Sus scrofa: one gene and its partners. The protein of the gene in region 1 purifies or fractionates together with the protein of each later gene. This does not show direct contact. Links are inferred from orthologs where the notes say so. Each region holds a gene or a part of one and is shown on either strand. Other genes may lie near its edges. The genes, in order: CTDSPL2, PDIK1L and STK35.

Evidence for each region.
Region 2: the proteins of CTDSPL2 (region 1) and PDIK1L purify together in Homo sapiens (affinity purification with mass spectrometry; 4 studies listed by BioGRID and IntAct, counting the BioPlex papers as one, with this or other methods). This does not show direct contact. The link is inferred for Sus scrofa from reciprocal best matches to the Homo sapiens genes CTDSPL2 and PDIK1L.
Region 3: the proteins of CTDSPL2 (region 1) and STK35 purify together in Homo sapiens (affinity purification with mass spectrometry; 3 studies listed by BioGRID and IntAct, counting the BioPlex papers as one, with this or other methods). This does not show direct contact. The link is inferred for Sus scrofa from reciprocal best matches to the Homo sapiens genes CTDSPL2 and STK35.

Annotation. Positions count from the first base shown.
Region 1 is NC_010443.5:127,055,797-127,059,426, reverse strand, and holds part of CTDSPL2 (CTD small phosphatase-like protein 2), read left to right. Parts: intron 1-310; coding exon 311-526; intron 527-3,630. UniProt on the Homo sapiens protein: Probable phosphatase.
Region 2 is NC_010448.4:83,541,189-83,545,604, forward strand, and holds the start of PDIK1L (serine/threonine-protein kinase PDIK1L), read left to right. Parts: upstream 1-1,556; 5' UTR 1,557-1,637; coding exon 1,638-2,202; intron 2,203-2,550; exon of another isoform or gene 2,551-2,698; intron 2,699-4,416.
Region 3 is NC_010459.5:33,410,418-33,414,724, forward strand, and holds the start of STK35 (serine/threonine-protein kinase 35), read right to left. Parts: upstream 2,909-4,307; 5' UTR 1,803-2,908; coding exon 1,497-1,802; intron 911-1,496; coding exon 310-910; intron 1-309.

The DNA of each region.
Region 1 (3,630 bases):
ATGATTATAATACAGTGTTGTCTATATTCACTATACTGTGCATTAGATATCTAAGGATTATTTATTACTTGTTTTAATTTTGTTCCCTCCCATCTTGGAGTTTTCCTGTGGTTCAGTGGGTTAAGGATCTGGCGTTGTCACTGCAGAGAACTTGGATCACTGCTATGGTGCAGGTTCAATTCTGGGGATCTTCTGCTTGCCATGCATGTGGCCAAAAACAAACAACAACAACAAAAAGTTTGTTCCCATCTTTCCCCACCCACTGTGAGCTCTTAAATAATGATTAATGTACACCGAATCATGATTTCAGGAACATCAGGATCCGATTCCCCGGGACAGGCTGTGGAAGCTGAAGAAATAGTAAAACAACTTGATATGGAACAGGTGGATGAAATTACTACCAGTACTACTACATCAACCAATGGAGCGGCTTACTCAAGTCAAGCAGTTCAAGTGAGGCCATCAATAAATAATGGTTTAGAAGAAGCAGAAGAAACAGTTAATCGTGATATCCCACCCCTTACAGGTGAAAAAGATTCCTTATTTTTCCTTGTATACCTTCATAAATGGTTTACAAAAACACAGTATTTCTTTTTTTGTGTTTTTTTTTTTTTGTCTTTTGTCTTTTTAGGGCCGTACCTGTGGCATATGGAAGTTCCCAGGCTAGGTGCCAGGCCAGGGGTCAAATTGGAGCTGTAGCTGCCAGCCTGCACCACAGCTCATGGCAGTGCCGGATCCTTAACCCACTGAGTGAGGCCAGGGATCAAACCAGAGTCCTCATGGATGCTAGTCAGGTTTGTTAACCGCTGAGCCACAACGGGAACTGCAAAAACTATTTCTTAAGTAGGCAGATTAATTTCATAAATTTTTCTTTCTTGAAGTTAAGAAAGTTAAAATTGGAAATAAATCCTTCTCCCCCAAATCCAGTCATTTTGAAATTCAGTTTCTTAAAGGTTGTTTTGACTATATATCAGTCATTTTACAGTTTAATTATTTGTACCAATCTTACTAGTAGGGGAAATTTAACACAGCTAACAAAATAATATATTCATTAATATATTTATTATAATTACATCAGTCTTAGATCCTTGAGGTCTAAAGTCCCTGTGTAGAGGTAGTTCCATACCTTCAGATTTGTTTCATATATGGATGACATTCCCAAAGAAACTCTTGTTCCTAGATCTGTCCTTATACCCCAACTTTGCAACCCAGTCCTGGATCCTTTTAAAGGGCTAACATAATCATTGGGTCCCCAAGCCAGCCGTCATGGAAATGTAGAAATTTGAAATCAGAATTTATTACTTCGGAGGGTTATGGTAGATAGACATATAAGACTAAAAGATGAAAGTATGTTCCATTATGCTTAAAAACAGAAATAAAACTGAAGATGGACATCTTTTTTCAGAAGGAGATCTTAGGAGTTCCCATTGTGGTGCAGTGGAAACGAATCCGCCTAGGAACCATGAGGTTGTGGGTTCAATCCCTGGCCTTGCTCAGTAGGTTAAGGATCTGGTGTTGCCGTGATCTGTGGTGTAGGTTGCAGATGTGGCTCAGATCCAACTAGAAACCATGAGGTTGTGGGTTCGATCCTTGGCCTTGCTCAGTAGGTTAAGGATCCGGTGTTGCTGTGAGCTGTGGTGTGGGTCGCAGACGCGGCTTGGATCCCGCATTGCTGTGGCTCTGGTGTAGGCTGGTGGGTACAGCTCCGATTAGACCCCTAGCCTGGGAACCTCCATGTGCCATGGGAGTGGCCCCAGAAAAGGCAAAAGACAAAAAAAATAAATAAATAAATAGAGTTTGGCATTAGAAGTAAAATGATGATCTCTCGGATATAAAGAGGAAACTTAAAAAAATCATTGAAGCAGCAGAAAACATGTAAAGAAAAAATACATACAATTATGGAACTTCCATACAGTGCCACCCTATACCAATTTAAAGAGAAAAGCACCATAATAAAAAATTTTACGTTTGTGAAATATAAATATCCATAAACTATTATAATCTTATAGTTTAAGAGTAATAGTGAATCTCACAAGCAAATCAACATGAATAATGTTCTTGGGTTGAAAAGACTTGCAAATGAACCTATTGTTGACATATTATTTAATGCTGATTACTTTGTTTTTTTGTTTTTTGTTTTTTTGTCTTTTCTAGGGCCTCACCCGAGGCATATGGAGGTTCCCAGGCTAGGGGTCTAATTGGAGCTGTAGCTGCCCGTCCCATGCCAGAGACACAGCAACGTGGGATCCGAGCCGTGTCTGTGATCTACACCACAGCTCACGGCAACGCCAGATCCTTAACCCACTGAGCAAGGCCAGGGATTGAACATACAACCTCATGGCTCCCAGTCGGATTCGTTAACCACTGAACCATGACGGGAACTCCAACTGTTGATTACTTTGTTTAGTGTTACAGGCTATTGAGTGGTAAGATAAAGACTGAAGTCAGAGCTCTTGGCTTCTTATTTGATTTTTTTTTTCCTGTTTTTGTGCTTCTGGATAACACTTTGTATTATTTTTTCTGACAACTGTAAAGATGGAGAAGGGATTTCTGTAACTTTAGTTTCTAGAGAGGAAGAGATTTATTCCATTTGTCTTATTCATTTGCTTAACATTTTAATTAATCACTTATTTGTTATGTTGGACCCTGTTTATAAAGATAAATAAGATATGTTCATTGATCCTGAGGAGTATGTGATCTAATTGAGTTAAGTGTACACAAAAATTACTGTAAAGTGTAGTGAGTACTGTTACAAATAAATGAGTAAAATGTTGCAGTTACTCTAGGAGGCTTATGAGAGGAAAGAAAGAAAAGTTTTGCTGATCTTAAAAGATGACTCTTGGATTTCCTGGTGACATAGTGGTTAAAGATTTAGTGTCGTCACTCCTGTGGCTCAGGTTCAGTCCCTGGCTGAAAACTCCACATGCTTCAGGCCCATCTGCCTGCCTCTAGCGTTGGCACCCCACTCCCCAAAAAAGACGAGTGTTAGTGACAGAAGTGTTCCTTTTCCTCAACTTTAAGAATGTAGCCAAAAGGAACAAGAAGTAAGGGGGCCGGCTCTACCATTTACTTACTGTGTAACTTTTTAGAGATTTTAGAGATCAAATGAGATGAAGTATTAAAAATGTTTAGCACAGAATTACTAAAATACTAATTACTTCCTTTCTCCTTTTCTCCGAGGTTAATAGGAATCTGAAACAGTAAAGTGGTAGGAAGATGTTTTCAGTTTTTTCTCTTGTACTAGTGAACTGCTACTGGCATAAAATTGTTAGAGGTGAACGAAAATTCTGCTTTACATCTGTTGTCATTTATTGAACATAAATACTGTATTGGCTCTGTTTCAGAAAGTATGAATACATGATTATAACAAAAAGGGATAAGTTTTTGTCTCGAAAGACTATTATCTACCAGTATTCCATTCCCATAGACAGAGTACAGCAGTTTTTATTGAGGTTTACTCTCTTGGTCCTTTTGGGAAGCTCTAACAAACTATCATTAGACTATGTGGCATATAAGCAACAAAAATTTATTTCTCATAGTTTAGGAGGCTAGGAAATCTAAAGTCAAAGTCCCAGCATATTCACTGTCTGGTGAAGACCTGCTTTCTGGTTCATAGATAGCTGTCTTCTC
Region 2 (4,416 bases), on another chromosome or scaffold:
ATTCAGCAAGTTACTTACTGACACATGAGAAGTTTCCAACCTTTTGCTGTCAAAATGTCATAATGAATAGCCTTGTGCACACAGTGGTTAGAATTTTGCCAATGTATCACTAAAAAAGATTCCTAGAAGTTTAGCCTTGACCTAGGATTACTGGGTGAAAGAGTAAATACATATGCAATGTGGCCATAGATTGCTAAATTTCCTTAATTAGAGTTACATCATTTTGCCTCCCCACCAGCAATGTATAGCAATGCTATCCTCTGGAGTATTTTGGCACCATAATTTTGGCAGATAGAGGAGCCTGGAGAAATGAATCATAGACAAAGTTTCTGTCCCCAGGAACTCTCAGTCTAGTAGAAAGCCTATTGGCAAACATACTCATATAATGTAATTTTCAGAGCAGATTTATTCTGAAGCTTAAGTTTCAGAGTCCCTCACTTACAAAGACCCTTTCCAAATCCCTAGCAATGGGTTCATTTTGTAATCTTTTTCCTAAAGAGGACATGCCAAATTATTTAAACATCTACCTCACAGACTTTAGAGTCAGTTTCTTAACTTTGGGGTTTGGGGAGTGGATTCCAAATTCTGCAGCCAGCTTGAGAGGAGGAATTCCTGTATTTAATGACTGAGACAAACTGAGACAAACAAAAGGACAAGGCTCCTTTGACCAAGAGACACCCCTCCCCTGATTCTGATCAGTTACCCCACAGGTGTCCAGCTGGCTATCTACACAGAGCCCTCTATTTTCCCTGTAGTTTTTTTGTTTTTTGCTTTTTAGGGCTGCACCTGAGGCATATGGAAGTTCCCAGGCTAGGGGTCAAATCGGAGCTGCAGCTGTGAGCCTACATACACCACAGCCACAGTGACCCGGGATCCAAGCTGCATCTTCGACCTATGCTGCAGCTCACGGGCATCGTGGATCTTTAATCCAATAAGCGAGGCCAGGGATCAAACCCACATCTGCATGGATACTAGTTGCGTTCTGAACCGCTGAGCCACAATGGGAAGTCCTTTCCTCTACTTTCAAGGGTAGAAAGCAAGCCTTAGATTACATCAGTATTCCCAGGAGACAGCTAACCTCACTTCGCACTCAGGGCAAAAGCCTGAAGGGATTACAGAGCAGGGGGTTTTGGGGGCGGGGGTAAAGGGGTCACACCAGCTGAGTGGGTATTCAAGGCAGGTGCTCCCCCCTCAAAACAAACAACTTTCGCCAAATAAGACAAAGATCCGTTTTTGCTTTTGTTTTTCACCTCTAAAAGCAAGATTCGTCATAAAGCCTGTCCTTGTGGGGTTTGGTTGGGATTAGGAGACAACATTTAAAGACTTAACCCAGCCCCAGACTTTGCAGAGAAGCTGCATAAGTGGAGGACAGAAAATAAAATGGGTAATTGGTTGATTCTTGAGGGCAGGAGCAGGGATTCTTTGCACATCGTGCCTTGTACAGCACTGGGAGGAGGACTAGCCACTTTATTGACAAATAGTTGGTGCAGAATAAATCAGTTTAGAAGGAATGAAGGTTTCTGGCAGATAAAATATCGAACGACCGATTGGTCCGGGTCTCTGAGCAAGTGACAGTCCCGGACTGGCTATGAGGTGAACGCTTCCCTGGATTTGGCTGACAGCTGTCGGGTACCCCAATGACTCAAGCTGACCGTCGGGCCCCAAGAACGGCTGTCTTCGCTGTCAATCCCGGCTCCCGCCAACCCGGGCCTCCCCCTCTAGATGCGCAGGGCGGGGGTGGGGGAGGCCGACCCTCCACGAAGAGCCCGCGGGTGCCGCCACCGGGTAGGCGTGCGCGCGCGGCAACGGCCAAGTGCGGGCGCCACGGTCCCTTCCTCCCCACTGGGGGCAGGGCGCCCGTGACTCGCGGCGGCCGGGCACCGGAACAATGCGGCTTCGGCTTCTTTAAGGGAGATACCACCGCGCCGGCGGGGCAGGGGACTGCATCTTCCCAGATGATCGCACCCAGCCCCGCGCCGCCGCTGCCTCGGCAACTCCACCGCCCGCAAAAATGGCTCAGTGACTCTGACAAAAGGTGCAGCCTCCCGCTCGGCGGGGTGGACGCCAGGCCTCCCAGCTCGGGCCGTGCCTCCCCGCGAGCCCGCGGAAGAGGCCCGCATCCTGCAGGCATCTCAGGCCCGCGCCGAGGAAGATGCACCAGGCGTTCCACCCCAGCGACCCCGCACACCTGCCCGCAGCTCGGTAGGTCGTGAATGGAGGCGGGGCGGGGGAGGGGAGGGCGCCGACAGCACGCACCCCTAGGCCCGGACCTGCTGCTGCGGACCACCCAGGACCGCAGGCCGTGCGAGCCTGCCGCAGCTGGAAGGCGACCGAGTCCCGTGCATGGAGCGGCCTCCGACTCCCGGGCCCGACCACCCCTGCGGGGAGGGGCACGAGTGGTGCGTTCCGGAGCGCGCACCCCTTCCGCGACTCCCGTGTCCTGAAAGCCAGGGGAGCCGGGAGGAAGCCAGCGGAGCGCCGGGCGCGCGCCCAATAGGACTGGAGCTCGGCGTCCCCGCTCGCGCTACGGAAAGCCGGAGGGGGGCGGGGCCGCGCGGCGTAAGGGGGTGTGTCCGCGCGCACCACGGGGGCGCGCGCCGGCCTCTGACTGGAGGCCGCGGCGGCGGAGGCGCGAGCTGCCCGATAATGGCGGCCTGCAGAGCCCGTGAGAGGGAGAAGCGGCGGCGGCTACCCTGAGGTAAATCTGGCCCCTCGGCCTGGCAGAGAGGCCTTGAAGCAGAGCCGAAGGCCCTGCACGTGCCTCCGGCCCCAGGAGTCCTGTCACAGGGCTGTCAGCACAGTCATCCTGGGGAAGGCCCCTCGCACCTCAGGCCTCCGGCCCGCACCCCTCAGGCCACCGGCCCCAGCTGCGGCCTCCTCTAATTCCCGTGGTCCCGGGCCTCAGCCGCCGGCCCCGAGAAGTAGGGACAACTGCAGGACCGGCTCTTCGGGGTGAAGGGCCCCTGGAGGATCCCCTCCGGGTTTCAGCTGGACGCAGCCGAGGAGGGGGAGGGCCTGATACTTGGCCAATGAGCGGGGCCCTGAGCCGCCGCGTCTGGCAGCACCTCTGCCCAGGACTGGCCCTTCCCGGGCGCCAGCAGGTGTACTGCCTGGCCTGCCCGCGTCCGGGGCTGCGTGCGCCCGGCAGGCGCGAGGGCCGGGAGATGCCGTCGTAAATTACCAAGGTTCTCCCGGGATGCTTCACCGTGCTAGGTTTTGACCCCGGATCTCAAGGATTTCATAAACACCTCCTCCCCCTTATTCAGGTGCTCTTTCGTGTGAGGATGTGGGTCGGCTTCAAAAACACGAGCCCCTTTGAGATGGATAGTAATTGGCGATCCACGGAGAGCAGGAAAGCATGTCCACTGTGTAGTTGGGGCAGAGGACTCCGAGGCAGGAAATCAGATGCTTGGAAATAGAGTAGGAATTTGATGAGTGGGTGTCCAGTGAGAGGAAGTAGGATTAAGATGCAATCTCAGAAGCTTTCGTTTTCTTTATTAAATCTATCCTACAGACTTAAAGTAGCTGATCCTAACTTCTCAGGTTCTAGTGTCAACAGCTTTTTGTTCCCACAGACTGTACAGTGTAAAAATTGTACAGTCTCAGGTGACTTTTCTTGCCCATGGTGGCAGTCTACAAATGAGAATTTATTCCTGAAGCTCGTTAGAATTTTGACATCCTTTGGAGCGTGAGGAGGCACACTTTAGACACTCTTGATTCAACACGTGAGCATTTCCGTGTAGGGCCTTTGCTCTTGCCTTTAAATAGTTTATCAAGTTTAATTCCAAAGAACTCCCTCGGAGAGCCCCTTAATTTGCAAGACAGATTTCGCTGGGAAAAATGACCTAGATCTGAATAGCTATCGTTAAAACAACAACAGAAAGGTAATCATATTCTAAGTAGCTTACTATATCTTTAAAGGAACATTTTTCTCCACAAATGTTATTTTCCTTTTGCAAGAAATAAGGAAATAACATAAACAAAATTAACCTAGGAACATATACAGTTTGACTATTTACTTTTAAATAATAACAACTACACATTTTCACTTCTGTGATCTGGTTCACTTTCAGTCCCTAAGCATAAGCCAGGTGTTTGTATTTATAACTCTGAGGGTTTGGTTTTGGTTTTGCCATTTTTATGGCCTTTTATGTGTGTGTCAGTTTTCAGGGGAAGCTGGAGTTTTGTTTGTTTTTTTATGATCAGTAAATAATAATGCTGAATTTTTAAATTTATTTTAAACAGTGATGTATTGAAGCAGTTCATGAAAGAGACAGTATAGTGTAGTGGTTAAAATTAAGAATTTCAGAGCCAGATGGTCTGCTTTCCAAATCCCAGGCCCACCAATTACTAGCTGTTTGACATTGGGCATGTTGCTTAAACTCTCTGTGCTTTAGTTTCCTCATCTATAAAAGG
Region 3 (4,307 bases), on another chromosome or scaffold:
AAAGTGCTACACGTTTCATAATAATGGCTCACACTTATTGAGCACTTACCGAGACAATGGTTAGCGCTTAATGAACATTTGTTATGAAAATACCAGCTAACGACAGTGCTGAGAACGGATCCCGGATCCTGGATCCTGAGCTGAGAGGACAGCCCAAATGCTTGGCTTGGAAAGGAGGGTGTGTCTGGTTCAGAGTGACAGGGCCAAGACCAGGGTCTAGGTAAGAGGTCCTGGGGTCACTTTGAGCAGAGCCCACCGGATTCGTGGGTCCAGGCCCTGAGTAGCCAAGGCGGCCCGAGACGCCCCTACCTTTGAGCGAAGTCTCCACCAGGCGCAGGTAAAGCTGCGAGTTCTTGTTGCCGTGGCTCATGCGCTGAGCTAGCCCGTTGCGCTGCAGGACGCACTCCTCAAACTGCACGACGTTCTGGTGGCGCCGCTTGAGGCTGGTCAGGGCCCAGAATTCGGCCAGCGCCAGCTCCACGTTCTCGGGGGCGTCGCAGCGGATCTTCTTGACCGCCACCCGGGCCCCGCTGCGCCCGGCCACTGCCTCGTACACCACGCCGTAACTGCCGCGCCCGATCTCCGCCAGCAGGCTGTAGCGCGGCCGCGCTGACCCGCCGCCGCCCTCGGGCCGCCGCCTCGCCAGGTAGGCCTCGCCCGGGGCCTCGACCGCCACCGGATCCATGGCCTGGGCCGCCGCCGCCGGCCTCAGCTTCGCGCTGAGCGCCCGCGGCACTGGGCTTCGCCTTTTCCGCTCGGGGCTTTGTGTACCTCTGCGGGCGCCGTCCTCTTCCCCCGTTTCCATGGCTGCGAGCGGCGGGGGGAGCAGCAACGGCGCTGCCCGGGCCCCCCCTGCCTCATCCCTCCGTCCGGCCCCGGGACGCGGAGGATCGGGACCTTGGATTGTGACCTGTGGGCGAAAGAACCGGTTAAACGCGCAGGCCGAGGCGGGGAGGCAAGGAGCGTAGGCCGCAAGGCGTCCCACCTCCTCCTCCTCCGGCCGCCACGGCCCCTTTAAGACGGAAGCCACGGCGGCTGACTGAACGGGGGAAGGGAGGGGAAAGCGGGAAAGACGAAACCACGGGGCAATGGCTCAGAGGGGGAGCCGGAAAGAAAAGCAAAACCTCCTCGTCTGTTCAGTTGATTTATCCTATAACAATACGAAAAACAAGGACCTGCAGCGGTCGTGACTTAAGAAAATCGCCTTAAGCGCCAAATCGGCCTGTGGAGATCTGGTTCCCCCGCTCGGCTCCCTCTGGGATGCCCCTCCCCGCGTCCCTCCCTGTGTTCTCCCGGGTGTAAACAGTCCATTGAATTAAGCTCGAACGGATCCCCGCGGACCGACCCAAGTCCCGAAAGGCTGCGGGTGGAAAGAGTCGCCTTAAAAGTTCGGCGTTCCTGAGCGCGCTAATCTGGGGGCCCTCCTGCTCTGCCCAGGAGGCTCCGGGGTCGCCCCGGCTGGCTGCTGGCTTTTACTCCGCGGACCGCACCCTTACCTGGCCGGCTCCTTTCCACTTCCGGGCAGCCCGTTTCCCCTCTAAGGCCCCGGGTTGGGGATGGTCCGCTCCGGGCCAGGGCTGCCTCCGGTACGGAGCGGCGCGAGAGGCGTTGGCCCGGGCCGAGCGTGCAATGGAGCTTGCGGCCGCACGGGTGATGGCAGCGGCGCTCTCGGGGGAGAACTGAGCGTAGGGGCTCCCGCGGCTCTCCACGTGTTCGCGCCAGCTGAGCCCTTTACGTAACCCTTTTATATAAGCCTCACGTCCGGCCCGCACTCGGGCCAGCGGGGGCTCCTGGTGGCCCATCCCCCGGGAGGCCGGAAGAGTACCGCGCCGCCTGGGTCCTGCCAAGGTCGGCCGACCAGCCGCAGCCGGGCGTACTCACGCCGCGCCGAGGCCCAATCACAGGCTAGAACACCTAACCAGCAGAAAATGGGCGCCAAATTCCCGCGATCTGGCTGTAACTCCCCGGTCTCCGAAGCCGCCTGCGCAGCACAACCTCCTCCCTTCCTGGCCTGCGCTGGAAGAGGAGCTGCACGCAGTAGGCCCAAATAAACACTGATTGGGTGATTGGATTGGTCGGTTTGATTAATGCATAAGGATTGCCTGGGAACCGCCCGGTCTGGGTTGGAATCTAGAGCCCTGCCTCCTGTTAAGCCCCTGGATCCTGGGCAAAACATTGCCCCACTTGGACCCTCAGTTTACTCTTCTGCAAAGTGGGTAGGCCCTAATTTTCAGGGTTGATAGCACCAAATGAAATGTACATACACGTACATATTTATATCTAGGGTGGCTAATTGGGTGCAGGCCTGAGAGCGTTCAATGTAAGCTCCATTTAGGCATGAATTTTTAAATATTTTTTCACTGCTTTGTACTCCAATGCCTCCTAGATGCCTTATATCTGTTAACTGAATCTAGATATTTATTGAGTGCTTATAATATGTTAGGCACCGTTTTTGTTCTAAATTGCCAGGGAAAGAGCTGTGAACAAGACAGTCTCTACCTTAGTTGAGGTTCTGTGCCTCATGGAATCATATGGGTGACCTTGCACAAGTAAACTTTTTTGGCCACAGGAATAACCCCAGCTACAGCAGTGACAACTCTGAGCCCTTAACTGCTAGACCACCAGGGAACACCATTAATTAACGTTATGGTGTCTCTAGTCCTCATCTGTAATATGAGAAGAATAGTAGTTGGAGAATCCACTGAGGGTAGATGGTTAAAGCACTTAGGTCAGGCTTTGCACACATTAACTATCAGATACTATTAAATAAGCTAATACCCAGGGTCTTTTTTTGACAATATTAGTGTGTAACGAAGGAGAAGAATAAGCTAAACAGTGCCTGAGGGTTGCGGTCAAGCCACTTCTGTTAGTGTGGTCACTGAAAAACTTTTTTTTGCTGTTTAGGGCTGCACTCGCAGCATATGGAGGTTCCCAGGCTAGGGGTTGAATCAGAGCTGCAGCTGCTGGCCTATGCCACAACCCCAGCAACTCGGGAACCAAGTCACATCTGTGACCAACACTACAGCTCACGGCAACACCGGATCCTTAACCCACTGAGTGAGGCCAGGGATCCAACCTGCGTCCTCATGAATACTAGTTGGGTTCAATACCGCTGAGCCACGGGAACGCCCTCATATACTTTTAAAATTGTCATAATAATTTTTTATATTTTACTACTTGCATTATCACATTCTCTCTTGTGTATATGTTTGTGCATATATTATATGCAATATATATATGTACTTTTTCCCCAAAAAAACACTTTGTTTCAGACATCATGCTCTTTAATTCCTAACTACTTCTGTGTGTATTACCTAAAAACAGGGATATTCTGTTGCAAAATTTCAGTACAATGATCAACATCAAGAACTTTAACAATAATATGATTTAATACAACTTCCATAGTTAAATTTTGCTATTGTCCCAGTAATATAGCTGTCCTCTAGGAGCCAATGAGGAACACATGTTGCATTTAGTTGTCATGTCGCTTTAGTTTCCTTTAATCTAGAAAGGCCGTTAATTAACTCAGGTATACTAGTCGGGTTGGTTTCTACCAGCCACAACAGGAACTCCTGGACAATTTTTTTGTGTGTGTATTTTGTAGGGTTTTTTTTTTTTGGTCTTTTTAGGGCTGCACCCACGGCATATGGAAGTTCCCAGGCTAGGGGTCCAATCGGGATCTGAGCCGAGTCTTCCACCTACACCACAGTTCACAGCAACACCGGATCCTTAACCCCCTGAGTGAGGCCAGGGATCAAACCCAGGTCCTCATGGATACTAGTCTGATTCGTTAAACACTGAGCCACGATGGGAACTCCTGGTTTAAGTTACAGTGGTAATCTGTTCTTATTCTTATGACCAATAGCCAACATTCATTAAAGTTTTCTGTCAGGCATAGAAGGTAACAAAGAATTCTCATGCCTGTGAGGTACTGTTCTTAGCCCCATTTTACAGATGAAGAGGCTAAAGGGAGGAGCTTGATTAGCTGGGATTTGAACTGAGACCCCAGGCTCTTCACACTGTCTTACCCCCCTCAGCCCCCCCTAATGGCGGGCATTTATGTGAACATGTAGGACCTTCTTCCTCGGCTTCCCTGTCAGCAAACATGCCTATGCCTAGTTCCCTGGAGCCTCACATGCGCTGGACATGACTGGAACACAATAGTTGCAGGAGACATGGAAGAAAAGGGCAGGAGCAGCAGGGAGGCTTTAGGCCCTTCCCGTAGGCCCCGGCCTTTGAGGGGCTGACATAGAAAATAAGACATTGTGGGGGAGTTCCCGTCGTGGCTCAGTGGTTAACGAATCCGA